Oryctolagus cuniculus: one gene and its partners. The protein of the gene in region 1 interacts with the protein of each later gene in a pairwise test. Links are inferred from orthologs where the notes say so. Each region holds a gene or a part of one and is shown in the gene's direction. Other genes may lie near its edges.

Evidence for each region.
Region 2: the proteins of RTN4 (region 1) and SYT16 interact in binary tests that used the Homo sapiens proteins (3 or more experiments, as listed by UniProt). The link is inferred for Oryctolagus cuniculus from reciprocal best matches to the Homo sapiens genes RTN4 and SYT16.
Region 3: the proteins of RTN4 (region 1) and SPG21 interact in a two-hybrid assay, tested with the Homo sapiens proteins (2 studies listed by BioGRID and IntAct). The two-hybrid records come from large-scale screens. The link is inferred for Oryctolagus cuniculus from reciprocal best matches to the Homo sapiens genes RTN4 and SPG21.
Region 4: the proteins of RTN4 (region 1) and SNX15 interact in binary tests that used the Homo sapiens proteins (3 or more experiments, as listed by UniProt). The two-hybrid records come from large-scale screens. The link is inferred for Oryctolagus cuniculus from reciprocal best matches to the Homo sapiens genes RTN4 and SNX15.
Region 5: the proteins of RTN4 (region 1) and CERT1 interact in binary tests that used the Homo sapiens proteins (3 or more experiments, as listed by UniProt). The link is inferred for Oryctolagus cuniculus from reciprocal best matches to the Homo sapiens genes RTN4 and CERT1.
Region 6: the proteins of RTN4 (region 1) and RTN3 interact in binary tests that used the Homo sapiens proteins (3 or more experiments, as listed by UniProt). The link is inferred for Oryctolagus cuniculus from reciprocal best matches to the Homo sapiens genes RTN4 and RTN3.

Annotation. Positions count from the first base shown.
Region 1 is NC_091433.1:147,596,706-147,600,700, forward strand, and holds the end of RTN4 (reticulon-4), read left to right. Parts: intron 1-1,193; coding exon 1,194-1,263; intron 1,264-1,530; coding exon 1,531-1,577; intron 1,578-1,734; coding exon 1,735-1,793; coding exon of another isoform or gene 1,794-1,797; intron 1,798-2,169; coding exon 2,170-2,212; 3' UTR 2,213-3,163; downstream 3,164-3,995. UniProt on the Homo sapiens protein: Required to induce the formation and stabilization of endoplasmic reticulum (ER) tubules. They regulate membrane morphogenesis in the ER by promoting tubular ER production.
Region 2 is NC_091451.1:8,389,861-8,394,660, reverse strand, and holds part of SYT16 (synaptotagmin-16), read left to right. Parts: intron 1-3,072; coding exon 3,073-3,329; intron 3,330-4,800. UniProt on the Homo sapiens protein: May be involved in the trafficking and exocytosis of secretory vesicles in non-neuronal tissues. Is Ca(2+)-independent.
Region 3 is NC_091443.1:88,007,851-88,013,264, reverse strand, and holds the start of SPG21 (maspardin), read left to right. Parts: upstream 1-2,126; 5' UTR 2,127-2,356; intron 2,357-2,450; exon of another isoform or gene 2,451-2,472; intron 2,473-2,552; exon of another isoform or gene 2,553-4,253; intron 4,254-5,414. UniProt on the Homo sapiens protein: May play a role as a negative regulatory factor in CD4-dependent T-cell activation.
Region 4 is NC_091432.1:6,511,819-6,516,515, reverse strand, and holds part of SNX15 (sorting nexin-15), read left to right. Parts: intron 1-1,586; coding exon 1,587-1,622; intron 1,623-2,586; coding exon 2,587-2,707; intron 2,708-3,241; coding exon 3,242-3,357; intron 3,358-3,798; coding exon 3,799-3,946; intron 3,947-4,078; coding exon 4,079-4,339; intron 4,340-4,697. UniProt on the Homo sapiens protein: May be involved in several stages of intracellular trafficking. Overexpression of SNX15 disrupts the normal trafficking of proteins from the plasma membrane to recycling endosomes or the TGN.
Region 5 is NC_091445.1:473,024-477,823, reverse strand, and holds part of CERT1 (ceramide transfer protein), read left to right. Parts: intron 1-2,045; coding exon 2,046-2,141; intron 2,142-3,809; coding exon 3,810-3,942; intron 3,943-4,800. UniProt on the Homo sapiens protein: Shelters ceramides and diacylglycerol lipids inside its START domain and mediates the intracellular trafficking of ceramides and diacylglycerol lipids in a non-vesicular manner.
Region 6 is NC_091432.1:7,487,609-7,493,074, reverse strand, and holds the start of RTN3 (reticulon-3), read left to right. Parts: upstream 1-2,238; 5' UTR 2,239-2,441; coding exon 2,442-2,583; intron 2,584-5,466. UniProt on the Homo sapiens protein: May be involved in membrane trafficking in the early secretory pathway. Inhibits BACE1 activity and amyloid precursor protein processing. May induce caspase-8 cascade and apoptosis.

The DNA of each region.
Region 1 (3,995 bases):
CTTGTACTCTACAATGTCACAAAATTTCAGACCTGGAAGATTACTTCCAAATCTTGTCTGACCATCTCATGAATAAACTATGGAGAGTAAAGGAAATAAAAGGTTTTTCAAGATGAAATCAATTTTTAGAAGTAAAGCCTTTGCTCAACTGCCTTATTTGGTTAAGAAAAAAAAGAGTTGTCAGTTCTTTGCAATCCCCAACTCCTTGAGGGGGCTCTAAAATCAGGCCCAGTCTGTCCAGTGATGCATGTCTTAGAGGCCTCAGTTGACCCTGGCTATGAGAAAATCCTGAAACTGTATACCTGTCAATAAAAGTTTCTATTCTTTTTGCCACTTTTAATGAAATTAAAAAAAAAATATATATGAGAGGCAGAATTAGAGGTTTTCCCATCTGCCAGTTCACTCCCCAAATGGCCTCAATAGCTGGAACTGAACCAATCCAAAGCCAGGAGCTGCTTCCGGGTCTCCCACATGGGTGCAGGGGCCCAAGGACTTGGGCCATCTTCCACTGTTTTCCAGGCACATTAGCAGGTAGCTGGATCAGAAGTAGAGCAGCTGGGAATCAAACCGGTTCTCATATGTGATGTTGGCATTGCAGGCGGTGGCTTCACCCTTACACCACAGCACTGGCCCTGCCCCCACTGCATTTTTAACAAACACTAATTTACTTATGCACTAGTTACCATTTTAGACGCCTTACAAATGTTAACTATTTCTCTTAACCTTAGGAGGGTAGAAGCGATATTTTTGGTACCTGAAACCTAGTTTCTGTAGTAACACTCTGCCTCGTTATTGCTTATCAGATGCCTGAGATGTTAATGTTTGAATTATTTAGTTCAGATATCTTCAAGCATTTAGACTTGGTAACTTTAAGGTTATAGCTAATTCTCATAGTACCTTTTCAGTCTTCGCATTTAAAAACTAAATTTTGTAAGATATAAATGATGTTAGAGATCTGAAGGTAGTGTGTCTTTGGCACATTCCCTGATCTCAGAAAACAGAATTAACCACTTGTTAGTGTGCTCCAGGGAAAAATGGGTCAAATCTACTAATTGTTTAATTGGGATTTTGAAATTTTGAACTGAGACTTCAAAGGGAAATATTTTAATGTACATCAAATTTTGATAGTAGGTTGGCATTTAGATGGCATTCTTACATTAGAAAACTTAATTTTTATTTGAATTTTTTTACAGTTTGCAGTGTTGATGTGGGTATTCACCTACGTTGGTGCCTTGTTCAATGGTCTGACTCTTCTGATTTTGGGTAAGTTGATAAAAGCACCAGCATGAAAAATGGTAGAGAAAGAACAGATATGAGAAAACAGGCATTTTAGTAGAAAATAATCTTATAGGGAGATTGTGATCTTTCTATAAATTCCGATACGGATACTCAGTTTACGGAAAGGCTGTTTAGCTCCTGGAGACTGCTGCAACTACCACAATAAACAGATAAAAGGTGGCCTTAGCTGATGGGGCAGTCATACAGCTAACCAGGGGCACCTGTAGTAAAACGTTGTGTTTCCTCTTTCAGCTCTGATCTCACTCTTCAGTGTTCCTGTTATTTATGAACGGCATCAGGTAATTTCTTACCTGTTGATTGCAGAATGCAGTGCTCATCCTATTACATAGCAGTACTGGTTTTTTAAGCCTTTAATTTGTGAATCCATAGTAATGGTTAATACAATTCTATAGCAATAGAAGTTCTCTTACAACTCCTTTTATATCTCTCTTTTAGGCGCAGATAGATCATTATCTAGGACTTGCAAATAAGAATGTTAAAGATGCTATGGCTAAGTAAGTAGTTAAAATATATAAGTTTTGTTTTTTAAATAAAGATAAGGTATGCTGGATTTTGAGACTGGTGTTCCATTTTTTACATTGTAGGCATTGAATAGCAAATCGTCAGACTTTAAAGGGTAACATTGGAGCAAAGTATTTTTTTCTAACATTTGGATCATTAATTTCTAGTTTTACTAGATATATTTAAGACTTTACTTAAATCTAATTTTTGGAGCCAAGGTGGCAAAATTATAGCTTATAACATGTGGCAGCCTTAGTTTGTCCTTATATAAACTGAATAATAAATGAAAAATTATTGAAGGATGGCTTTTCAAGGGGCAGAAAACAAGATATTTACATTGACTGTTCCTCCTTTCTTTCTCATTTGTAGAATTCAAGCAAAAATCCCTGGATTGAAGCGCAAAGCTGAATGATAAACAATAGGAATTCATCTTTGAAAGGGGGGTGTTTATTTGCTTACATGGGGGAGGGTCAGGGAAGAATGAAACCTTGACATCACAGTGCAGCTTCACAGATCTTTATTTTTAGCAATGCACTGTTTGAGGAAAAATTACCTGTCTTGACTGCCATGTGTTCATCATCTTAAGTATTTGTAAGCTGCTATGTATGGATTTAAACCGTAATCATATTTGTTTTTCCTGTATGAGGCACTGATGAATAAAAAAAAGATCTGAGAAAGCTGTATATTACACTTGGTTGCAGGTAGTCTTGCTGTATTTTTGGAAAGTTGCCGAGAAAGTGGAGCTGGAAAAAATAACCCTTTTCACAGTTTGTGCGCTGTGTGTGGTCTGTGTAGATTGATGCAGATTTTCTGAAATGAAATGTTTAGACGAGAACATACCACTAAAGCAAGAATGAAAAAGCTTGCCTTTCTGATATGTTCTAGGTGTATTGTGAATTTTACTGTTATATTAATTGCCAATATAAGTAAATATAGATTATATATATCTATCTATATATAGTGTTTCACAAAGCTTAGCCCTTTCCCTTCCAGCTGTCCCCACAGTGCTTGATGTTTCAGAGTCATTGGTTACCATGTGTAGTTCCAAAGCACATAAGCTAGAAAAAGAAAATATATTTCTAGGAGCACTACCATCCTTTTTCAACATGAGACAATGCCATACACATAGAACTCTGACATAAACTTCATTGCACCGACTTACTTAGTTAATTTTGTCACAAACTCTGAATCTGTGGACTGAACCTAATGCTTCCAAAAATGTTGTTTGCAAATATCAAACATTGTTATGCAAGATATTATAAAATGGACTTATACCGTTGTGGTTTAAGCTGTACTGAACTAAATCTGTGGAATGCATTGTGAATTGTAAAAGCAAAGTATCAATAAAGCTTATAGACTCAAATGGATGTGGTATTTTGGTTTCGTGAAACTGCAGTAGATCAAAAGTGTACACAACTGGTAGACTTTGCTTCAACCAGTGAGTGGTTCCTTGTATTTGTGGAAAGATTTTCGGCTGATGGTGCAGGTGTGTTTACTTTGGATACTTTGAAAACAAAGAGCATGCTTACATAATCAAATTTATTTGACACATACCAAAATGTTTTTACAGTAGGCATTTTATACAGTAAGTGAAAATAAATTCATGCACCAGTATTTAAACATATAGAATACAGTACAGATTTATGAACATACACAAAACCATATATAAATGCTTACAAATAAGATTTAAGAAGGTTTCTTGACTCACGGACACTATTGCTCTTTAAATATAGTTGTACATGTCATCAATCAATTCGTTGTTCTTCCATATGGTTATTTCAGCGCGAGACTGGATCAGTATGAAAGGTCAGTAGTACAATATATTTAGGCAGACATGATTATCACTCAGTGTCATCAGTAACATGGTTACAGAAAACAGGACTGCAGAAGGACTCTACTATGGGCCCCACAACCTATTAGTGGATTAATGTAAGGCATTAGTAAACTGGCATATAAAAATAGCTTAATGAGTCATCTAATCCATTAGAATGCTGAAGCACTTCTGTGGTAAAATGTTGATCTATTATTTACTGAAATGCTTCATTTTACCTTTTTTCTAAAATGGCAAATGGCCAGGAACTGAAGATCCAGAATTTTAGTTCATTGAATGGAAGGTGTCTGTGTGCCAGAACCACCAGTCCACTCACCAACTTTGCTTTCAGTGAGCTGCATCCACCCTGCCCTGTCATCAGCAA
Region 2 (4,800 bases), on another chromosome or scaffold:
TTTAATTGCAATTCCAAAATTACTTTCTTTTTAACAATATTTCTTTGATTGATTTGAAATGGTGGGCTAGGGAGAGCGAATGAATGAGCTCCCATCCAATACTTTAGTTCCCAAAAAGCCTGCAATGGCCCAGGCTAGGGACAGGCCAAAGCAAGACGCCCAGAACTCAATCTGGGTCTCCCACAGGGGTAGCAGGGACCCAACCATGTGAACCATCACCTGCTACCTCCCAGGATTCATGTTAGCAGTAACTCAGAACTGGGTGCAGGTCTGTGACTCAAACTCAGGCACTCCGATAAGGGATGTGCATATTCCAGGCAGCCTAGCCAAATGCCCATATCTGCAAAATACCTATATTAATGTGTGATTGGATGGTTGACACCTACTCCTGGCTACGTAGACTTATAAAACCAACCATCACAGAGGGTAAGCCAAAGTCTTTGTATATTGCAGGTGATGGGAGGGAAGAGTTGGGAGTATGAAAGGAAGTAAGTGGCTAAAGGGATTTTATTTCACCAAAGTAGGATACGGAGTAAACAAGTTGAAGAATTTCTCTGCTAAAATAAATATCGATATGACACAGCTATGACCTATTATGTCTAAGAAGCCAGGATATATTTCTCTGATAATAAGCAATTACTTTCATGCTTCTGTGTGAGCTGACAGGATCCTCTCTCATTTAAAGCCTTGGGGAGACTGCTTTATGTAAAGGTGGACCATCTTTCCCTTTTTTCCTCCTTGCAATTTGACTTGTACCCCAATCTGCATTTCCACTTCATTTCTTGCTTCTCTGTCATGGAAAATGCTTTGTTACATTAATACAGTTCTTATGTTTTTCAGTTATGAATAGCTTTTCAAGGCTTAATGTAGCTGTTGAAAATTCCCTTATTACTGATCTAGGTATTATCACTGTAGGAGTTAAAGCCATGAGACAATTTTATGGGGGTAATTTCTTGGCAAAGTTAGATTTTGTGCTGAAATCCTGCTGGGTGCTACACATGTTGATGGATGGCCCACTGTTTAATAGGACATTTTACTGTTCATGTATGTGAGGAATGGGTGTGCTAATTAGAGGCTTGGAAGAAAATTCTGCTTTATATTGTAGGTTTCTGCATGTGGAGTTTCCCTTGTTCTGTCATTTTCTGCGGCCTTTTTTGTAGTGTGTTTGCCAAATAGCTCAGAGCATGAATGTAAAAATGTTGTGGTGTCACAGGAGAGTGTTTCCAAGGGAGCTGATCTGAATTCTTCACAGTGCACACTTCTCAGTGGCCTGCTGTGCAGTCCCCATTCAGGAGTCTGTAGCTGTGTCCCGGGGACCAGCTCAGCCTGAAGATGTTTTCATGTGGTCTGCATAGGGTGATGATAGATTTTCAAGTCTGACTGCTTATATAAATGGGTCATATATTCTCTGGTAAACCACTGTCACCCTCACTCTGTGTTGGGGCACACCTGGCTGCTTCAAAACTTGTTGCCTGCAGACGTTAAAGTGATTTGCAGGTGTAGTGAGAGCTCACCAGCAGACAAAGTAGAGGCAGTGGACGCATGCAGAGCTTATGTTCTAGCTGAGGTTCCAAAAGGTTAACGGGAGAAATGATTGTTATGTACAGTATGCACATGAGAACCGAGCTTATGACATACTTTGCTATCCTCGTCCCGACTGTATTTATAATTTCCTCTCATCCTGGGATATTGGCTGCTGGAGGCCAAAGAGGTGAGACAGCCTCTGCTGGTCTTGGAGTGTGGGGGCCACATCAAGGGGAAGGCTACCGATTAGGAAGACCCCATCAGCTGTTCCTTGCCTTCTGATTGCAACTTAGACACTGAGGTGGAAGAGTAAGACCAACAGGCTGTGTGTGTGGTAGAGAGAGAGAGAGAGAGAGAGAGACTATAATACTAATGTCAGAGTAAAACTTTGATGTAGAGTCAGAAGGCTCAGGATTGTTGAGGCTTTGGTGGACAGGATGGAGGGTTTGAATACTGCTGTGGACAGAAATGCATCACTACAGGTTCACGAACCAGTGAGACCACGGGTGGCAATGAGTTAAGAAGCAGTAGAAAATGGGATGTGACAGGTTAGAAGAGGCCGTTTCAAACCAGAGATGTAAGCAAGGCTAACAATTATGGAATGTCTACTGGGATCCAGGTGATATGAACTTACACAGCCACAATAGCCCTATGGTGGCTTTTTATCCCTTTTTAGGTAAGAAATCAGAGGTTTAGAGTTTCAATATTGTTCAAGTTCATAAAGCAGAGAGGATTTAAACTCAGATTATCTGAATCCAAGTCCAGTGTTCTCTCCATAGATCAAGTAAAGAACATTTGTTTTCCTTTGAGAGAGAGAGAGAGAGAGAGAGAGAGAAGGTGAGCACTTCCACCCAATGGTTTACTCCAGACCTGCCAACAGCACAGACTGAGTTGTGCTATACTGAAATTGGAAGCTAGAAATTCAGTCCAGCCTTTGCACTTGGGTTCAGGCTGAGACCCAACCCACTTGAGCCATCACTGCGGCCCCCAGGATCTGCACTAGCAGGAAGCTCAAGTCAGAAGCAGAGCCGTGAGCCAAACCAAAGCACTACAATATGGGATGCAGGTGTCTTAACCACGGGCCAAACGCCTGGCCCGAGTAAAGGACTTTATAACTCGGAGAACCACTGAAGACTTTTGAGCAGAGAATAATACAGAGAACAAAAGGAAAAGTGACACAGGAGACTGTGTGATCTCCATATGACTGCTTTTGCTTTCTGGATCTTTCCCCGAAGCCTTACGGTCATTAACTCCAGCATAATGGTAATGTGTTTATTTTATCCTTCTGATATAAATATACATTCTTTGTGTTCACAGTATTACAAAGCATTAAATCTTCTTGTACCCCACATAAACTGCTAGTGACCTTTTTGATTATATAGATCAAATTTATCCACTGTATTGATGGAGTTATACTTCTGCAGACATTATTGGAATAAGTTTTATTTGTATGGTCTTAATCATTGCAGTGACTGAATTTCTGTAGGTAAGAAAAAATGTAAAAATAAAAGATTTTGAAATAGTTTTTTTTTTTTATTGAAAATCTAGATTTGGATGGAGCCAGCCAGCTAAGTTATCCTGAGAATTTGTCATATGGTGAAGATTCCCCCATCACTGCCCGCTCACAGTCCTCATGTGAAACGGGGGATACCAGGCGCCATGGTGCATCTAGCCAAGAGACATGCGTGGCCCGAAGCCCCAGTCGCCAGTCCGCAGAGGGGAGCTTGGAGAGGGACAGAGCTTTCAATACTCAGGACCTGGAGGATCCCTACGCCACCGACAGCTCTTCCATGTGGAGTCCAGAGGCGAGTTGTTTGTTCTGCATTCTGTCCTCACACTCACTGGTTCCACTTGTCCTCTCCATCCTCGTCCCCTTCTCCCCTGAATTTCTCCAGAAAGGAAACATCCCCTTGAAAACCAAAGACCTAACAAAAGCTCTTTCACTTGAAATAGCTTTCTGTTCCCATGACCCAAGCCCCATGTGTGTTGATAAAAGAATTGTAAATAAATTAATTTCATTCAAGATGGAAAACAAAGAGTGGTGAGGAAAAGGAAAGCATAACAAGAATGTGGCAGGATAGACTCAACTTAGAACTACACTTAGAACTTCAACAGCTGTTGGGCTTTTCTCCTTCTAAAGACTTTCCTAGCAGCATTTTGTAAAGAGGGTTCTTTGGTTATTTAGGGAAACTGGTTTATTTCCTTCAGGGTTTCAAGTGAAGTGGAGTTTATTTGTGTTTGTCACAACTCTTGAGTTTTAATGTTAAAATTCTTTTAAAATTATTTGAAAAATAATGATAGAGACAGACAGACACACATATGCACACACAGGAGAAAGGAGCAGAGGCAGGGAGAGGCAGAGAGAGGCAGAGGGTTGGAGGAGGAAAGCAGAGACAGAGAGAAAGAGAACACTCCCATCCACTGGTTCACTCCCCAGATACCCACAGCAGCCAGGGCTGGGCCAGGGTGAAGCTGGGAGCTGGGGATTCAATGCACGTCTTCCATGTGGATGTCAGGAGCCCAACCACTTGAGCCATTACCACTTCTTCCCAGTGTGTGCCTTAGTAGGAATGTGCAAATTGAACCCAGTTATTCCAATACAGGGCATAGCTATCTTAACTGACATTACAGCAGCTAGGGCAAAAACCAGCACTTATGATTATTTGACTCTGAAAATTATTTGAAAGAACTAAAACAAAGTGATTCTCCACAAATTGTGATGAAGATTTGTTACTGTGAGTACATTTGTAGGCTTTGAGTTGGGTTGACATGGAGATGGCCATCGATGTTGCTTTTTGGAATAAAAGTCTCATAAATGTCTTCTAAATTTCTTTCCATTGACAATGCAGCCCAGTATATGACTCACCATCCAGAGATATGCCCGGGGTAATGATGGAAGTTGCTACCAGTTCTTGAGCAGTCAGTACATGCTGGGCACTGTAATAACATTGATTTATCTTATAGGCATTTCTGGTTATTCTACATCAAAATGTTTCATCCTTTTATGATTCCATCACATTGGAAGGCATTAAATAGTGCTGTTCAATACCCAATTTGAAATTAGTTTTGAGGAAATAAATCATGGAGGTGTATCATTTGTGGGGGTGGAGGAAGGAGAAGAAGGGTGAAGGGGCTTTCTTGGCATCAGTCTGAAAAAAACATCCAGGATGGGTCTTTTGTTAGAGTCTGCCTGAACTGCAACACTTGAAACGCTCAGGGAAAAGAAAAAATATTCCAGAAAATTCACACTCTGAAGCTTTACTGCTGCCACCTTAG
Region 3 (5,414 bases), on another chromosome or scaffold:
TATCTACATTATGATAGGTTATTAGGTTAAAAGTTCTTAGCACCATGTAGCAGAACAAGGACTTCTTTATGCAGGTATATCCATAAGCTTAGATCTCATGAAAGCTATTGCTAAAGAGAGGTTTAGGGATATGGGGGTCTAAGTTTGATGAAAAGATAGGGATAGATTTATTTACTCAATACATTCAGTATGTCCTTTGTGTCTACTGATGCCTGGCCAGATCATGAACTAAGGCACTGGTTCAATCATGCTGTTCCCTTTGCTCCGGGCAGCTTCTGGTCCAGCAGGACAGATGGAAACCAGTGTAACAAACGCCCACCATAGGTTTTAGGCCCAGCCCGTGGCTTGTTGCTGATTCTGTTAGGTAGGAAGTTAGATATGAGCTTATGTGTGTGTAACAGGCCTAAAGAGAAGACTTCTATGTCCAGCATATGCATCTGCATCTCAAAGTCATCCTGATAATGTTTCCGGTATTCACATCCTGCCCTGCCCCCTTCTGCCCCCTGCTACCTGATAACCTGCCAGGTGGGGGGGGGGGGTCCCCCGCCCCTTCTGCCTGACAAATCTTCCACAATCTCCCAGATGCAGCTCAGTATCTGCATTTCAAACACCCTGCTCAGGATCCCCATTCTCCAGGGGTCTTGCTCACCCTTCCTCTAAACTCAGGATGGTGCCAGCTAGCCTTCCTCCAGTCTGATACCTTCAGGGGAAAACTCAGAAGTTTTTCTATTTACATCCAAAAAGCCCTTTGTTCCAAGAGGAGCAGAGGTGGGGAAGCAAGACCCCTCTCCTTAAAAACCCCTGGCCTCAACTGGACTGCGCGCTCAGCCCTCTGCCTCTCTGCTGAGCCGCCGACCTGCCTGGCCAGGTGTAATCTCTCCACTCAACCATGTAACCTGGCTCCTTCCCCCCGTCCAAGCGACTGCACTGTCTCTCAGGTCCCGTCCGGAGAGGTGCCCATCCGTTCTTGCGGATGTCCCTACCCTAATAAACTTCGCTACTTCTACTTTCCACTACTCTGTCTCATGCCTGAATTCTTTCTTGCACGAAGAACCCTGCCATTCTCCAGTAATAATTCCACTCATTAAACTATTCCAAAATCCTCAGAACAATCTCCCAAGGTTAAAGCCTTCCATGGAAGCCTGCTCTACAGAGTGTACACACCTGTGTGGGGCTTACAACAAAGACCAGTTCCCGTGACTGACCCCCACTCCCGAGGAGGTGATTTGGAAATCAGTAGGCGAGGGTGTCATCCTGCTCTTGGGAAATGTGTTGGGGATTTGGTCAAATGCTGGCCTGGAACCCAAGGTTCCTGAGCCAGAGGACAGAGGTCATGACTGAGGATGCAATTTAACTGGAATCTTCCCTGACCTTACTCCCATGGGCAAGGACACAGGCTTTAAGCATATTAGAGAGAGGCACTGAGCAGGGCCTTGCCGCAGGGTCCCTTAAAAGCTCCCAACAGGAAGCCTTCCATGCCATTCATGTGTCATACCCTCCTCCAGTGCAAACCTGGAAATGTTTAACTGGGGAAGGGAGTCCGAGAACAATGACAGTGAAGCCATTCACATGCCTCCGGGCCTTTAAAGGAAAAGTGCTGACAGAGGCAGGGTGGGAGTCTGTTCCCAGAAATGTCCCACATCGGGAGCACGAGGCTGGAGGCACTCGTGTGGAGACAACGAGGCGTCTGTGCCTGCGCCAAATGGTATATAAAAAACAGAACTTGCCAAGAATAGCCACAGTCCTGTTCCCCAAAACCGGGAACCCAAACGAATCTCCTCAAAGCTTTGCAGGACGGGAGCACGCAAGCCAACTGAGCGCAGAAGCAGGTGCCAGGGGCCAGACGTCCCCTTCGTCCACGCCCACAACTTCCTCCTGGGTGCTCACGTCACACAGGTGACCTAGAGTCGACCCAGAGGAAACCCGGACCTCCCCCACGCCCGCCGCACCGGATGCGGGCTGCCCGGCAGCTCGCAGCACTCACAACACCTGCAGTCTCCCACCCGAGTTGCCAGCCCTCCCCGTCGCCATGGCGCCGCCCGCGCCACGCAGCCCCGCCCCTTCCTCGCGACGTGGCCCCGCCCACCGCCGAACCCGGAAGCGGGAGGCTCGAGCCCGCTGAGCCAAGGTTCCGGAGGAGGAGGGAGCGCGACGGCCGAGCTCGCCGAGCCGCGCGCCCCGCCCCTCGGAGGCTGGCCTCCTGCGCGCGCCCCCGCTGCCGGCGGCCCCTGTGGGTCCCGAGCGCTCCCGGCCCCGGCCCGCTCCCGGGCCCAGCCGCCTCCACGGCCCGCCCCAGTGCTGGAGCAAGGAGCTGCCTAGGGCAGGAGGGCCGGGGACGTGGGGGCGGCCACGGCAGGTGAGGGCGGGCAAGGCCCTGGGCCGCGGGGCTGTGGGGGTGTGGCGTGTGTCGGGGCTGTGGGTGGTGGGTGTGTAGCGTGCGCAGCTGCCTCGGCCGGATGTGACTTTGTGAGTGTGAGTGTGATCCCGAGTGGGCCGGTCCATGTGACCATGCACGTGATCGCAGACCCGTGCGCGAGGGAGGTGTTTGTCCTGAGGCCGAGCCTGGGCTCGTGGCGGGGGTGGGCGGTGTGCCTGGGACCCTACCTTTGTGTGGCTGTCACCGTTGGGAGTGGGAGGCCTTGGAGTGGACAGAAGGCTTCCCGGGGACAGACGCCTGCAGACCCATCCTGGTGCTGCGCCGCAGAGCCCAGGAACTTTTCTGTTTTTCCCAGATAACTTTTAAGAACTCTGAACAAAGGCCACTTATTGTGGAGATTGTCCCTCGGCCTGAAAGTGACAGATGCCTTTGTCGTTGCTGATTTTCGGGCCAGGTAGACAGGGAATCAGGAGTCACAGGGCCTCTCCCCTGTTCCTGGGGAGTTACAAGTTAGACACTCTCGCTGTGTCTTTGTCTCCTGGAATGGTCCAGCTCCTATGGGCTGGGCCTGAGGGGTGTGTCCAGCGTTCCAAAAGCTTTTATATACCAAGAGCACAGGAGGAGCTGTCAGAGAAGAGATGTCAGGGAGGCAGCTTTCCCTCCCAAGAGGTTTGGCGATGATGAAATAGATTCCTGATGAGAAGCAGAGATCTTAAAAAAAAAAGGGGGGGGTGTCTGTGTACTGATGGGGTGAGGGATGGAGGCGTGTGTTAAAAAGCTCAGAACTCCATGCTGTAGTGCTTGTTTTTTTTGTTTGTTTTTGACAGGCAGAGTGGATAGTGTGAGAGAGAGAGAAAGGTCTTCCTTTACCGTTGGTTCACCCTCCAATTGCCACCACGGCTGGCACGCTGCGGCCGGCGCACCGCGCTGATCTGAAGCCAGGAGCCAGGTGCTTCTCCTGGTCTCCCATGGGGTGCAGGGCCCAAGCACTTGGGCCATCCTCCACTGCCCTCCCGGGCCACAGCAGAGAGCTGTCTTGGAAGAGGGGTAACTGGGACAGAATCCAGCACCCCGACTGGGACTAGAACCCGGTGTGCTGGTGCCGCAGGCGGAGGATTAGCCTACTGAGCCGCGGCGCCGGCCATGTAGTGCTTGGTTTTGCTGGTATTAATCGGGACAGGTCGCCCGCATGTAGAACAGCCATAGATTGAGATAAAGGATCAGAGACCTTGGACTAGCACAGCCGGGTGTGTGGTTGCAACACTTGTAAAGGCAGCTTCGTGGGCTGTAAACTGGCAGAGTGTGAGGGCCCCCAAGACAAGCTCGCACCCCGACCTGGCAGTGTGACTGTGCAGCAGCTCCAGGCCAGCGAGGACGGGGTCCCGGACACCCGGTGCCCTTAGGGGAGAGTGAGGCTGTCATCGCCGAAGCCTTTCCCTGCCAGCCAGAGCAGGTGCGTTCGTTTCTGTGAAAAACTCAGTCATGGGCGATGGAATCCGTGTTGCGCTCACCGTCCACATTCTTTCTGCCTTAATCCTGACCCGTTTGGTCACCATCTCAGCCAGCCTTCTTCGCCGTCTTGGAAAGTGTGCCCCTCGATGGATGAAAGAGAGCCAGGGGAACAGACCTTCCTTGTCAGACTGCTCAGCGGCTGTCCCTTGCGGAAGTGAGCTTTTCTTCACCTGGACGTCAGTTGGTCAATTGCAGCATTTGGTATCTGTCTCCCCTTTCATGTACTGCCAGACTAGCACAAGTGTTAAAATCACTTGTCGCCACAAAAATGTAGTCCCAGCTGAGTGCAGTCGCTCGGTCCGGCAAGGTTAGTTATAACTTGTTGTAATCGGGCGGTGGCCGCGAATTCTCCTGAGGACTGTTGGTAAGGAGCATCTTCCCACCTGCTGCTCTGGAGAGAAGTGGATGAGTGAGTGAGTCGGTGGGCTGTGTGAGAGTATGTGGATATGTGAGGTAGTTTGGTTTGCGCCCTGCAGCTGATTCCAAAACTGAATATTGTGTTCTACCCCTGGTTTGATGACTAGAAGCAATCTTTCAAGCTTTAAAAGATGAAGTATTTAGGGGATATGAGAATGTGGCCTGTCTGTCCAGGGAGAAAGTATTCCAGAATTAACTGTGTGGTTGTTCTTTCTGTTAAAAGTAGTAACCAGCTTAGAGGAAGGCTGTAGTTAAAATGGCTTAGTATTTGTTTGTTTGAGAGAGACAGAGAGCGAGCTTCCATCCACTGGTTAACTTCCTGAATGCCACAAGCTACTGGAGCTGGGCCAAGGTGAAGCCCGGAGCCAGGAACACAATCCAGACCTCTCACATGGGTGGCAGTAACCCCGTTACTTGAGCCGTCACCGCTGCCCCCCAGGGTCTGCATTGGTGGGAACCTGGAGTCAGGAACCAGAGCCGGGAAGTGCACCAGTGGGGGCACGTGGCTGTCTTACCCACTGGGTAATAGCCTGCCCCTATTTTTTTTTTAACATGTTAGTATTTAAGATAACATAGATGCACACAAAAAGATTGTCTTTATTCCAGTGTGAATAATTACGTCTATACACACTTTGAGCGTAAGACTGGCAATTTGTTAGTACTTCAGGCAAATTACAATTTTCACACTTTTCTAAAAGTGCCGTGTTAGCTTTGAGAGACTGTTACTCCAGTGTCAGGGTCGTGAAGAGTCTACGTTGGCTGTGTCCCTGGGGTTCACTCTAGTAACCCCACAGGTAACAGTGGAGGCTCCTGTGTCCTGTGTTGCTGAGGGAGCAGGCCTGGTTGGCCCACAAGGAGGAAGGAGCTCCTTCGACTTTGGGATCCCCTGCTGCTGGCCGGTCCTTGGTCAGCCCAGGCTGGCCCCTGAGTAGCGGACATGGTACAGATCAGCAGGCGAGTCCTCCCACACAGAGGAGCGGGATTCCTCGTGTGTCAGTAAGAGTCTGCAGCAGGGAACTATAATTCCAGGTTCCTCTTGGGACGTAACAATGGCTGAGCACACCTGAAGATGCCCATCCAGTCCAGAGCTCCCAGACGCCAATGCTGG
Region 4 (4,697 bases), on another chromosome or scaffold:
GCTGCCCCGTGCCCGCGTCCCACGCGTGCGGAGTCCCGGCTGCCCCGCGTCCCACGCGTGCGGAGTCCCGGCTGCCCCGCGTCCCACGCGTGCGGAGTCCTGGCTGCCCCTGTACCCGCGTCCCACGCGTGCGGAGTCCCAGCTGCCCCGCGTCCCACACGTGCGGAGTCCCGGCTGCCCCACGCGTCCCACGCGTGCGGAGTCCCGGCTGCCCCTGTGCCCGCGTCCCACGCGTGCGGAGCCCCACCTGCCCCTGCTCCCAGCCGGGCCCTGGCCCTGCTCCTCGCCCCGTGGGGTAGGGCTCTGGTTCCCGCCTGGCCAGCCCTGCCCTGCGGCCATCTGGGGTGTGCGCAGAGGGCGGTGGTGCGGAGCGGTGTGCGCTTCCCCCAGGCCCCGCCCTCAGCTCTACACCAGGTAACCTGGGTCTGGTTCATAATTCCTAAAGAATTCCCACTGCACCCCCTTCCTGCTGTCCTTAGAGAGCCTCACTATTAGTTTGTTTATCCTTGCAAATGAACTCAGCGTTTGTGAGCGAATGTGTGATTCCACCATCTGCCACTTACGGGAGTAGGCGTCGGTATTCCTGCGTTGCTTAGTGATTTTTAGGAACGAGGGAGAGACGGACAGCGGAGAGCTTCCGCGCACTGGCCACCCCCACGGTGCCCGCAGCCGGGTCCCGTGCTGGGGCAGAGACCCACCTGCTGGGTGCCTCCTCTGGTCGGCGGCGGCGGGAAGCTGGAGTCAGAGGCCGGAGCCGGGACTCAAACTCAGGCCTGAGGCATCTGGGCCACTAGCCCAAAAGGCTGCCCTCGCGGCTTTGTTCTTCGTTTACTAATAATAATAAAAGCTATACTTTACATAAAGATGCACAGACTTTTTTTTAATACAAGATTTATTTATTCGAGAGGCAGAGCTGGAGGGGGCAGCAGAGAGAGAGAGAGAGAGAGAGAGAGAGGTCTTCCATCTGCTGGTTCACTCCCCAAATGGGTGCAATGGCCGAGGCTGGCCAGGCCGAAGCCAGGAGCCTGGAATTCCGTCCGGGTCTCCCACGTGGGTGCAGGGGCCCGAGCGCTTGGGCCTCTTCTGCTGCTTTCCCAGGTGCATTAGCAGGGGGCGGGATCGGAAGCGGAGCAGCCAGACTTGGATTGGCGCTCGCATGGGACGCCGGTGCTGCACGCTGCGGCCTAACCCGCTGAGCCACAGCTCTGGCCCTAAGACGCGCAGACCCTAAGTGCGCGCGCGTGCAGATGAGCGGGCTGCTGGGAGTAAAGACCCCGACCGGGGTGGCAGCAGCAGCTCCGTCCGTCCGTGATGCTGTCGTCCGCAGAGGTCGGAGAGGCTTCTGGGAGCTGGCGGCGCACCTGCAGCGCCCGGCGGGCTCTTACCCTGCGCCGGGTGGGTGGCCCTTTAAGAGCTGGAAGGACTGAGGCACGTGGCAGAGGGACAGCGGGATGCCAGCGGCCAGGGGCCCTGACCCGAGGGGCAGCGGCACTCGGGATTGTCTGGGCCTCCTTAGCTTTTCCAGGAGATGGGCTGGCACGGCCACCTCTGGTCTCACCTGGCTCTTGCCCTTTTTTTTTTTTCAGTTCATCTCAAAGAAGGACCCTGAGGATGTGAAGGAGGTGAGGCTCGTGGGGAGCGGGGCCACCCCCACTTCCAGGTCTGGACAGAGTGAGCAGGCAGCAGCCGGCTCCTGGGGGGGAACGCGGGGGGCGCCAAGGGCGGAGTGGCGGCCGTGCCCTCTGCTCAGGCGTCCCTCAGCTGCGCGGGCGCGGGACACGGTGCACGGGAGGCTGCCCCCCACCCCGCAGGCTCGGGGCCAGCCCGTGTGTGTCCCCCACGGGCCCAGGCCAGCCTGCATGTGTCCCCTGCGTGTCCGGGCCAGCCTGTGTGTGTCCTCCGCAAAGCCGGGCCAGCCCGTGTGTGTCCCCTGTGGGCCCAGGCCAGCCCCTGTGTGCCCCCCGCGAGCTCGGGCCAGCCCGTGTGTGTCCCCCGCAAACCCGGGCCAGCCCATGTGTGTCCCCCGCGAGCCCGGGCCAGCCCGTGTGTGTCCCCAGCGAGCCTGGGCCAGCCCACATGTGTCCCCCGCGAGCCCGGGTCAGCCCACGTGTGTCACCCGTGGGCCCAGGCCAGCCCCTGTGTGTCACCCGTGGACCCAGGCCAGCCCCTGTGTGTCCCCCGCGGGCCCGGGCCAGCCTGCATGTGTCCCCCGCGAGCCCGGGCCAGCCCGTGTGTGTCCCCTGCGAGCCCGGGCCAGCCCACATGTGTCCCCCGCAAGCCCGGGTCAGCCCACGTGTGTCACCCGTGGGCCCAGGCCAGCCCCTGTGTGTCCCCCGCGGGCCCGGGCCAGCCTGCACGTGTCCCCTGCGAGCCCGGGCCAGCCCACGTGTGTCCCCTGCGAGCCCGGGCCAGCCCACGTGTGTCCCCCATGGGCCCGGGCCAGCCCCTGTCTGCCCCCCGTGGGCCCAGGCCAGCCTGTGTGTGTCACCCACGGGCCCAGGCCAGCCCATGTGTGTTCCCCGCAGACCCAGGCCAGCCCCTGTCTGTCCCCCGCGAGCCCGGGCCAGCCCGCGTGTGTCCCCGCAGGTGGTCGTCTGGAAGCGGTACAGCGACTTCCGCAAGCTGCACGGAGACCTGGCCTACACCCACCGCAACCTCTTCCGCCGTCTCGAGGAGTTCCCCGCCTTCCCCCCGGCCCAGGTGTTTGGTGAGTGTGCCAGGACTTGAACCAGCGCCCACGTGGGATGCCGGTGTCGCGCGGTGGTTTAACCCCCTGAGCCGCAGCACCAGCCGCTCGTGTTCTGTCTCTGCTGGGCAGTGCTGGTCTGTGTGCATCCAGGTCCCCTGACGCCGGGGGGATGAGATGTTTGGTCACAGCTGGTGAGGGCTCGTTGCCGGCAGGTCATGCCAGGGTGGCGCAGCTTATGCCCCCGGCAGCACAGGGCAGAGCAGGGGCCTGTGACAAAGGGGCAGCTTGCTGTGTGACCCTGGGTGGGTCACTTTCCCCCTCTGTGCATGGAGGCTTTGTTTCTCATCGGGGATACAGTATCCAGGACAGAAACTGTTTCTCTCTCGTTCTCCGTCTGAGCGCAGCTGGTAGTGGGTGCTCAGGAGACATCTGGCGGATGAGTGGGGAAGTTTGTCCCCCTGGGAAGCCTCAGGGAGGCTCGTGGGGAGGAGGAGCTGGGCGGGCCCTGGGGTCACCGCCGCTCTGCCCCCTCCCCGTCCTGGGGCGCTGCAGGCCGCTTCGAAGCCTCGGTCATCGAGGAGCGGCGGAAGGGGGCGGAGGACCTGCTTCGGTTCACAGTGCACATCCCTGCGCTCAACAACAGCCCCCAGCTCAAGGAGTTCTTCCGGGTACGCTGCCCTGCCCTGCCCTGCCCTGCCCTGCCCCGCCCCGCCCCCAGGCACCTGCCCACCAGGCCACGCCGCCCCGCCCTGCCCTGCCCCGCCCCGCCCCCAGGCACCTGCCCACCAGGCCACGCTGCCCCGCCCCGCCCCACCCCGCCCCCAGGCACCAGCCCACCAGGCCACGCTGCCATGCCCTGCCCCACCCCCAGGCACCTGCCCACCAGGCCATGCTGCCATGCCCTGCCCCGCCCCCAGGCACCTGCCCAGCAGGCCACGCTGCCCCGCCCTGCCCCGCCCCCAGGCACCTGCCCAGCAGGCCATGCTGCCATGCCCTGCCCCGCCCCCAGGCACCTGCCCAGCAGGCCACGCTGCCCCGCCCTGCCCCGCCCCCAGGCACCTGCCCAGCAGGCCATGCCGCCAACTCTGCCAGGCTGGTCTCTCCCGCAGGGTGGCGAGGTGGCACGGCCCTGTGAGGCGTCCAGGGACCTGCACATCCTGCCTCCGCCACTGATCCCCACCCCGCCCCCTGACGAGCCCCGGCTGCCCCAGCCGCTCCCCGCCGAGAGGAGGGGCCTCGAGGAGTCGGAAGTGCCAGGTACCGGCCGAAGGCTGGGCGCCGGAGTGGGCAGACAAGGTGGGCGGGGGTGGACGTGGGGGTCCACACCCACCCCCCAGCCCTAACCGTCTCCCTGCTGAGGGACTCTGGACAGGTCATCTTCATTCTCAGCTTCTCCATCTGTAAAATGGGCACAAACCCTTGAGGGACTTGGTGAGGGGCGGCTCCCTGGCAGAGCTGGGCCGCAGCTCAGCGCAGCTGTCCCTGTGCCCCGTGGTCTCTGCTCAGCAGACCCTGCGCCGTCCAGCCCCGCCCAGGAGGCCCTGGATCTCCTCTTCAGCTGTGGCAGCCCCCAGGAGACGTCGGGGACCCCCACCCGGGGCCCACTCACCGAGGCCGACCTCGCCCTCTTCGACCCCTTCTCCAAGGAAGGTAACGGATGGGGACGGCCAGAGCCGGGGTGTCTGGGGCCGAGGCTGGTTCACTTTCTGGGGCTGTAACAGGGGCCTAAGGTGGGCACTGAGGAAGCGAGCCGATTTCACTCACGGTGTCGGCAGCTGCAGGTCCGAGACAGGGCGGCCCCGTGTGTTTGGCCCCAGTCAGGGCCTTGTGGCAGATGGTGTTATGGTATGACCGACAGGCATAACGGGAAAGCCACCTTGCCATGCCGACATCCCATATGGGCATCGGTTCGAGTCCCGGCTGCTCCACTTCCAATCCAGCTTCCTGCTGTGGCCTGGGAAAGCAGTGGAGGATGGCCCAAGTGCTTGGGCCCCTGCACCTGTGTGGG
Region 5 (4,800 bases), on another chromosome or scaffold:
GAGAGAGAGGTCTTCCATCCACTGGTTCACTCCCCAAATGGTCACAACATCCAGAGCTGTGCCAATACAGAACCAGGAGCCAGGAGCTTCTTCCTGGTCTCCCACATGGGTGCAGGGGCCCAAGGACTTGGGCCATCTTCTGTTGCTTTCCCAGGCCACAGCAGAGAGCTGGCTAGGAAGTGGAGCAGCCGGGACTTGAACTGGCGCCCATATGGGATGCCGGCACTGCAGGCGTGGCAGCTTCACCTGCTGTACCACAGCGCCTGCTCCAGTGCCCTGTTCTTTACACCTTCCTTCACAGGTAACCCGCTTAGAGTAAGACTTGCTTCTGGGGAGCATTTCCTTCTGCCTCAGCTTGGAATAAACTCGGTGTTCTTAACTCCCTTGTTTCTCACCTGAAATCCCATATTCAAACCTAAAGAATTGTAAGATTGGGATCTAAAGAGGACAAAACTTTATCCCAACATAATGTGATACAGACTGATGAATGAAGGCAACACTACTGTGCTTACTTTTGAGACACATTTTGTATGTATTTGTAACTTAGAATCGTTCCTTATCATCCTGACCCTCTGAAAGCAGTTGCATTTTCTAATGAAGACTTCATGAAATTATAGAATGTACTGGAGCGCCTCACATGGATGGCATCCCTTGCTATAGAAAACAGTGCTCCAGCCAGCGCCGCAGCTCACTTGGCTAATCCTCCGCCTACAGCACTAGCACCCCGGGTTCTAGTCCCGGTTGGGGCGCCGGTTCTGTCCCGGTTGCCCCTCTTCCAGGCCAGCTCTCTGCTGTGGGCTGGGAGTGCAGTGGAGGATGGCCCAAGTGCTTGGGCCCTGCACCCCATGGGAGACCAGGAGGAAGCACCTGGCTCCTGCCTTCGGTTCAGCGCAGCGGGCCGGCCGCAGCGACCATTTGGGGAGTGAACCAACAGAAGGAAGACCTCTCTCTCTCTCATTGTCTTAACTCTGCCTGTCAAAAAAAACAAGGAAACAAAACCGTGCTCCAGGGTGAGAGCTGGAGAGCTGCGGCCTGACACCCAGTGTGTGCTTACTTCAGAGCCGGCTTGGACTAGGTCCTTGTTCTGCAGTCCTGATCCACACAGTAGTCTTGAGGGAAATAATAGTGAACTTCAGGAGTAAATTTTTAACTAGAAGTATAATGTACATAATTTCAACCTACTTTCTGCCTACTATGATGTATTTATTATGACATTGTTTTGTGTATACAGTATTTATCACCTCAGCTCTATTTAAAAACATGTTTCAAACTGGGAAGCAAATGTTGCAAAGAATGCACCTGTGAAATGTTACCGATAACTGTGATTGAAGATTCTAGGAGTGTTCAATATGTGTTCAGTTTTAGTTGCTTATAGAAGCTACAAAAGTGTAATTTGTGAATGTTAAAGGCATTTAAATTTCAGTAAAAGAAGCTTATTCAGAAATTTAGAAAGATGAGCTAAAAGGTGATTACGTGTAAAAGCTTGAATTAAAGAATTAGCACAATAGAGTTGGGGCTTGGTTATTTGTAAGTTAGTTCCTCTTATAATAACATCAAGGTTTTTCAATGAAATAAGGGAAAGTGCATCACCTTTGTGTCAGATCTCTAACATATAACTGGGTTTCTGGTATCCCTGCATACTCTGAAGTGGAGGAACACTTGAGCTTCTGACCCCTTTGTGTGTCTCTGCCCTTAGCGTACCATGGTTTTCCACTTTAAGACATCATCTCTGTACTTTAAAGTAGAGGATAGAAGCTTTGATTTCTCAGAAAATGCTGATTCCGGTCACTTGGTGCACATGAGGCCAGGCTGTTGCTTGAGTAAAAGCATCTTGCATTTTTTCCTCTTTTCATTAACCTGAGTGTCTGGAATGTGGACTGAACTCTGGCAGCCATGTAAAACGCCTGCTCACTAACCACTGTGCGTGTGGTTGCTCAGCTTTCTAATCGCACCCTTTCTGAACTGAAGTAGACAGTACTGTTCTGTCTTAGAGCGTGACATACCTGCAGAATGTGGATCCTCACCGCTTTCTTTTTCCTTCCAAGGTTGAAGAAATGGTGCACAACCACATGACTTACTCATTGCAGGATGTAGGTGGCGACGCCAATTGGCAGCTGGTTGTAGAAGAAGGAGAGATGAAGGTAATCCCCACTGAACGTGACAGGAGCTCTGTTGGGTTCTCACTATTATTGCTATGAATGGGGACAGCATCTTCAAATCACTTCAAAACAAGTTACTACCATCAACGAAGAACCAGATATTAGAAATAAAATGTCTCTGTGCTTCTCCGGTTTCACTTGTACTTACTTCTTTGTGATTATCGTATGCATCTATCACCAGACCATGTTGTTTTGCCTAGGTCATAGAAAGAATTGGAGAATTTAGATAGGAACAGATCACATTTAGCTGATGGCCCTTGATTTGCATGTTTAGTTGTTTTTTTTTAAGTACACTGAATGTTGTGCCTAAGTTTCACTTTCTCTCCCTGTTGATCTATACCTATACCTACCTTTTTCTTTTTTTCTCACTGCATTTTTAAAAAAGGGTTGGTTTTTTTTTTTTTTTTTTCTTAATTTATTTTAAAGGCAGAGACAAAAATATCTTGCATTCACTGGTTCATTCCCCAAATGCCAGAACAGCCAGAGCTGTGCCAGTGCAGAGCCAGCAGCTAGGAACTCAGTCTGGGCCTCTTCTGTGGGTAGTGAGGACCCAGGTAATTGAGCGTCATCTTCTGTCTCCCACAGCGGTCATTAACAGGAAACTGGATTGGAGGCAGAGCCAGGGCTTGAGCCCAGGCACTTTAATTTGGGATGCAGATGTCCCACGCTGCATCCTAACTGCTGTGCCACATGCCTGCCCTTGCACCTGTTTCGATGTTTGAACATTGCTCAACTAGTCTTGTTCACAATCACTAAGCACAAGACACAGAATAGGAGCCAGGAATAGGAGCTGCAGAGATGGACTGGATAGCAGTAGCAGCTTGAACTCCGGGATGCCTCAGTCCCAAGACATTGAAGCTAAAGATCTAGAGAGATTTAATCAGACTCCTTCCAAGCTGAAGCTTTAGTTGAGTAAAGGGGATATTGATATTTAAAAGAGCATTGCTGACTCCATCTGATGATGTGTTAGAGGAAGAGTACAGATGAGTGGTGAAGAAAATTAGGAAAGAAAAACCTCTGCAGTTTCAAGTCTTTAGATTGCTTGACATTGAGGAGAAATATCTGAGCTGTATCTGGAGATGGAAACGAGACATTTTAACAAAAAGAAAAGGACCAATAAAGTGAAAGCAAATCATGTGTTCAGGGTTTTTGTATAGACAAGTTATCCTGGCAAATGAGATACAGTATGAATACAGGGATTTCCTCTTGAGTAGGGAAGAAGATTGACATGGAGGAGGCAAAGGAGACACTCTGATAAGCTGGTTGGAAAAGGGGCTTTAGCTCAGCTGTTGAAAGGTCTTGCTAATTGGTCAGTGCAGAGCTGACCTCAGGAGCAAGTCCAGAGCAGCCCAGGATGCGTGCTCTTTTCTCCTATACTTATCTTTTGGCCTGGGAGACCTGGATGGAGTTTTGGGCTCTTGGCTTCACCTTGGCCCAGCCCTGGCTGTGCAGGCATTTGGGCAGTAAACCAGCACACAGAAGATCTCTCTTTGTCTCTTGATGCTCTCTCTGTTTCTGTCACCATGCCTTTCAAATAAATAAAAATGAATGACTTTTTTTTTAATCTAAAACATAGCTTAAAGACAGACTTTCTAGTCTCTAGGGATTTGCTTTTTATCTTTCAAACAGTTTTAAATACGCCCTCTTTAGGTGTACAGAAGAGAAGTAGAAGAAAATGGAATCGTTCTGGATCCTTTGAAAGCTACCCATGCGGTTAGAGGTGTCACAGGACATGAGGTCTGCAGTTACTTCTGGAATGTTGATGTTCGCAATGACTGGGAAAGTAAGCTGCTGTTACTTGTGTATTTCAACCTAATGATTATTTTGAATTTCATATCAAGTTGAACCTAGTTTTCTGTATCTGAACTGTAGTTTATAAGGTCAGTGTAGAAAATAGTCCAGATAGGGGCCGGCACTGTGGCATTGCAAGTTAAGCTGCGACCTGCAGTGCTGGCATTCCATATAGGCACTGGTTGAGTCCTGGCTGCTTCACTTCTGATCTGGCTCTCTGCTGATGCACCTGGGAAAGCAGTGGAGGATGGCCCAAGTATTGGGGCCCCTTCCATCCTTGTGGGTGACCCAGAGGAAGCTTCTGGCTTTTGGCTTTGTCCTGGCCCAGAGCTGGCCAGTGTGGCCATTAGGGGAGTGAACCAGTGGATGGAAGACCTCTCTCTCACTGTCTCTGTCTTTTTGTCTGTCTCATTTAACTCTGCATTTCAAATAAATAAATATTAACAACAGAAAGTATGTATACACACACACACACACACCCCTAACATTTAAATAGAGCTTTTCACTGTGACAGTGTTCCTTAGGGTAGTGTATCCTGTGCTCTGATGCCTCTCCTTGTTCGTCTTCATGGTAGATTACTATCAGTACTATTTCTCACTCTACATGCACATAAGGTAAGACTCCCATAGGTCAAGTGACTTGTCAAAGGCACAGAATCAGTTAGTGGAAAAGACAGAACTGAAACAGAATGTTTATCCTTTATCACACTCGCCTAAACAGTTTTGATTTCATAGTAAATGAATCATACTATGGTTAGCTTGGAGTTACTATTAGTTTCTGTGTTCCCCTTCAGCACCAAATTTTGTAAATTAAGAAATTTCTCAGCCTCCTAAGTTGTTTATCATTTATA
Region 6 (5,466 bases), on another chromosome or scaffold:
TTCACTGTGCCCTTCCCAGCCTCTAACAACCTCCTTACAAGTCCAAACCCCTTCTGAACTTGGAGCTTCTGCATAAAAGCTTCCCGAGCCACTACAGCTCCTTCCACACGGGTTCCTTCCCATCTCAAATTCAGACAGGCCACTGGCCACGTAAGCAAAAGTTCCTGATTTTGTGCTGTATGAGATTGGTTTTGATTGCTGTTTAATTTGTATTATTTGACTTTATGTGAGTACTCCCCATGCTCAAGTTTGAAAGCTCATTGAAGACAGGACGAACAAAGTATTTTGGGGGGTCCTTCCTAAATTCTGTGGATAATAGCAAATATACAGCAGATGGTCAGTAGATATTCATGGAACAAAAATGGAACATTCTACAGAAGAACCAAGATAGAGCAAGCAAGAGAAAGCAGGAAGGAAAGACCATTTCAAGACCTAGCACGAAGTTAATGTTAGGGGCCAGCGCTGTGGTGCAGCGGGTTAACGCCCTGGCCTTGAAGTACCGGCATCCCATTTGGGCACTGGTTTGAGACCTGGCTGCTCCACTTCCAATCCAACTCTCTGCTGTGGCCTGGGAAAGCAGTGGAAGATGGCCCAAGTCCTTGGGCCCTGCACCCGCATGGGAGACCCGGAAGAAACTCCTGGCTTCAGATCAGCGCTGTGCTGCTCCAGCCATTGCAGCCAGTTGGGGAGTGAACCAGCAGATGGAAGACCTCTCTCTCTCTCTCTCTCTCTGCCTCTCCTCTCTCTGTGTAACTCTGACTTTCAAATAAATAAATAAATCTTTTTTTTTAAATAAAGTTAATGTAAATTATGGTCTTAAGAGACCACCCAGACCACATGAGTTTTAGCATCGTTTCTCATCTAGCACTTAAATATGTTGTTAAAGGTAGGCCTGTGTCAGAATGGGTGGCTAACTGGCTCGGTTATCAGATTGGCTCAGATTTCCCTTTGTCATCCCAGGGACACTTCGCTGCATTATGGACAGATGCAGTGCCAGGGTAAGATATCTATCATGAGGTTATTTGGGGGAAGATCCAGCCAAGAGGTTGTTTCACCCTCCCCCCACACCCCTGACCTTAAGGACTGTCAAGGGCAGATGTGCCCAGCAGCCCGATCTCGGTTTTCTCTGGTCTGCTTTTCCCCTCCATGGCCGCCAGGCTGACCGCCTCACCCTTCTTGAGGTCGCATCTTTGCAGGATTCGCAGACCCCGCGATTACGCTTCGGGCCATCCATTGCTGCTTTAGCAACAAAAAGCCTGCAGCCTTGATTTTTCTTCTGTCCAGGACACACTCCCCCACCCCCTTAAAGGGATTATGATCCTTTCAAACATTTTGACCAGATGTAAGGAGAAGGCTTTGAATTTGGCAATCCAGTCCAGGAGAAACAAACAAAAATAACAAAATGAAATATTAATAAACTAAATGGTTTCAAATACACTTTCTGCTACGGAGCCCTTTTAGGCTATGCGTAGAATTCAGTTATGCGTATTTCTAAATGCCCCATTAATCTCACACGCATCCCCACCCCCATAGTCGCGGGCAGTATGCTGTCTGCCGGCTGTTCTTTCTCCATCAGCTCAGCTTTTTCTTGTCCCCTCTCTAAAATGCATCTTTTCGGAGGAAAAGGCCGCCTCAGACCCGGCGTGGACCCCCTGCTTAGGACAGTAACGAGGTAAGAATACGAAGCAGGTTCCGCCGCTGCACTGCGGTGTGACCGGAATGAGTAATGGTGGTCCACGCTGCAGAGCATCGCTCCGCCTCATCGGACGGGGAGCCCGGGCCGTCCCCGCGTCGTGCAGAGGGGGTGCACCTTGCAGAATGCGCCCACGCCGCCCCGCGGGGTCCACCCCGCAGCGGCAGCGTCAGACAAAGACCCCGCTCTGGAATGCACGGGGAAAGATGGTTCTAGCTAACACATGCACCAAGAGACCCCCCCATTGCCCAAACATCACATACGCCAGCCCTAAAAAACAAGTCACCGATGGCGCCGCGAGCGACGATCACCGGGCAGCAACCCGCCAGCTCCCGCGGCAGCGGTGGGCGGAGCTTGGTGCTTGGCCACGCCCTCTGCGTCTAGTCCCAAGGGGCTGCTCCCCACCTCGCGCGCGCGCCCGCCGCGGCGCGAGACAGGTTCTGCCCCCCTCCTTCCCCGCGGGAGCGCGGAGGGACAGCTCTCGCGCCTGCGCGCTGCGCCGCTGCGCGCCTCCGCTCGGCCGCCGCCCGCCCCCGCCGCCCGCCGGCGGGGCCTTTGTGCGCAGGCGCGCTCGCGCTCCCGCCCTCTAGCTGCGCTCGGTTGAGTCAGTCAGTCTGTCGGAGTCCGTCCGCGGAGCAGGCGTGTGGCGGAGACTTCGCAGAGCCGAGCGCCCGATTCTTCGGTTTCCCCTCCCTCGCTCCCGCCCCGCGTCTCTCTTCGCCCCTCTCCGGCCCTTGCTCGCGCAGCCATGGCAGAGTCGTCGGCGGCCACTCAGTCCCCGTCCGTCTCCTCGTCGTCCTCCGGGGCCGAGCCGTCCGCGCCCGGCGGTGGCGGGAGCCCCGGAGCCTGCCCCGCCCTGGGGACGAAGAGCTGCGGCTCCTCCTGTGCGGGTGAGGCGCGCGGGGGGCCCCCGCCCCAGGGCGGGCGAGCGGGGCCGGGGGGCTGGGGGGCCGGGGGAGGCTCCCGCCCGCCCCCCGGGGACGAACGTTTGGAAAACGGGCAAAGGGGGAGGGGAGCGCAAGGTCGTGCGGGCGGTGAGGAAATAACGGGGTGTGAGGAAAACAGGTTGGGGGCGGGGAGCGAGTGGGCGTTCACGCCGCGGCCCGGCAGGTGGGGGGGGCGCGAGGAAGAGGAGGAGTGCGCGGCGCGGGGGGCGGACCGCGTTCGGGGAGGCCGACGAGCCCCCCGCGGACCCGGGGTGTCTGCAGGGGGGACGGCTAGCAGGGTCGAGGGGGTCGGGGCGGGGGGAGCAGGGATGGGTTAGGATTGTCTGCGGGCGCGGAGGTAAGACGGTTTGCACGGCACGCCCGCAGACAGGTGTTGACAGAAGCAGACACGCATGACGGTCCTCGACATTAAAAATATTTCTGTTTGCCCGTGGGGGAGGATGGGGAGGTCGAACGGCAGCCTTGGAGCCCGTGCCTCGGCGGTTCTCGGCGAGGCCGGGGCTGCGGGGTGAGGAGAATGGAGCCGGGAGCGAGCTGCCGAGGGTCCAAGATGGATGCGGGGCCGCCTCTGCATCGCCGCCCGCCCGCCCGTCGCTGGCGCGCGTGGGGGTGGGGACGCGCGGGCGGTCGCTCATATTCCGGAGGATAATAGAGTCGTGCCGAGCCTCGGACGCGTTTCGGTGTGGTGTTTTCTGTGGGCTATTGTTGATGGCCCTATAACAAAGGGGGGCTTACTACAGGAACGGGGGAGGGGGAGGACCTTCAGACAAAGCAGGGGCTGGGTGAAGCCCCTTCTCCCGTCGCTGTGAACCACCGGGTGGGGGGAGGCTGCCGGCGGCTCGGTTCCCAGGGTACGCGCGCCGGCCTGCTCGGGGGAGCGGCCTGGCCAGCTCCCCTCGTGCTGGGATCCGCACTGCAGATGCTTTCCTGAGAAACAGTGTGCACCGCCGACAGGTGCTGGTTCTTAAAGGAACGGAGCCCGGCGGGGGCGGGGGCGGGGTGGGAGGAGGAGGGGATGTGTGCACAGATAATTTTGCTGTCTTATTTAGTTGCATTACAGGATTTCGAGAGGTTTTAGCATGCCTCATCGTCTCCTTCCGTGGATTCTTAGATTGATCATTCTGAAAGCTGCATTTCCGATCTTAGCGTTACATACGTTGTCTGCGGGGTTTTCTAACAATGCATTTCCACCTATCTGAGGCTTCTGTGCCCTGCTGGGTTTGCCAGCGTGATAGTGGGCATTTCGACAGAGACCCTGTCAGAGGAAGCTTCTGCAGATAAAGGAATGAGGCAGCAAATTTGGAACCCTTGTTGCCTTGAAACCACCAGCGTTCCGCCTCCAAATTTTTGTGTTCTGGGCGAAGGCCCAGAGGAACGGTTTCCTTATAACTTAGAACTCGTTCTTTTAGCTTTAATCACTTGTCACTGCTTACTGTTTGCTTGTCCTTTTTATGTATACCTTTGCTTTTTCTTGTTCTTCAGTTTTTGATTCAGATCTAAGTTTTAGGAATTGGCCATTTGTGCTCAAGTGTTGACTAGTGATTCTAGTTAGCAGGCACTAAAATTTCATTCTAACGTTTATAGCCAAATGGTAGCATGATTTGAGAAGCAACCTTTCTATTCCTTTAATGTGCTCTTACGAAAGAATTGGCTCCCTGAGTAGGCCAGTGAAATCAGACTATTCTGTTCACAGCTATGCCTAACGTACCACCAACACCAAGCAGACCCTAAATTGGCAACACAAATTTGATGATATAACATGTACTTCTGTTTGCACGTATTTCTGTTATTATTTACGCTAGTTGTGATTTTTATTTATTTCTTATTGATTTTGTTTTTGTTTCTGTTTTTCTCAGAGGAATGCTTTATATATTTATGACAAGTGAAAGAGAAAGTGGGAAGGCATAGTTCCCTTAAAAAACTGCCTCCCTTATTTATTTTTTATATTTTTTTATGATAGTGGAAAAGATGCTGAAATTGGATGTTTTGCCAAAAGTACTGGGATTTGTATTCTGACGTAGTGTTCCAAGTACATGGGTTGGCATTAGATTTTCCTAATACTGTTAAATTCCTCAGTATTCATCTATTCATTATTTCTTAGCAAAATTTTTGTCACAGAATTTTTATTTTTTTTTTAAGATTTACTTATTTATTTGAAAGGCAGAGTTAGAGGCAAAGGCAGAGAGAGAAGTCTTCCATCCACTGGTTCACTCCCCAAATGGCCACAACTGCCAGAGCTGGGCTGATCCGAAGCCAGGAGCTTCTTCTGGGTCTCCCATATGGGTGCAGGGGCCTAAGGACTTGGGCCATCTTCTACTGCTTTCCCAGGCCATAGCAGAGAGCTGGATTGGAAGTGGAGCAGCCAGGACTAGAACCAGTGCCCATATGGGATGCCGGTGCTGCAGTCAGCAGCTTTACCTGCTATGCCACAGCACCGGCACTAGATTTTTTTTTTTAAGACTTATTTATTTATTTTTAAAGATCTATTTATTTATTTGAAAGTCAGAGCTACACACACACACACACACACAGAGGTATTCCATCTGCTGGTTCACTCCCCAATTGGCTGCTGTGCTGATCCAAAGCCAGGAGCCAGGAGCTTCTTCCTGGTCTCCCACGTGGGTGCAGGGGCCCAAGCACTTGGGCCATCTTCCACTGCTTTCCCAGGCCACAGCAGAGAGCTAGATTGGAAGTGGAGCAGCCGGGTCTCGAACCAGCGCCCATATGGGATGCTGCCGCTTCAGGCCATGGCATTAACCTGCTGCGCCACAGCGCTGGCCCCAAGCCCTAGAATTTTTATTTCTTAGATCAGCTGTGGACACTGTC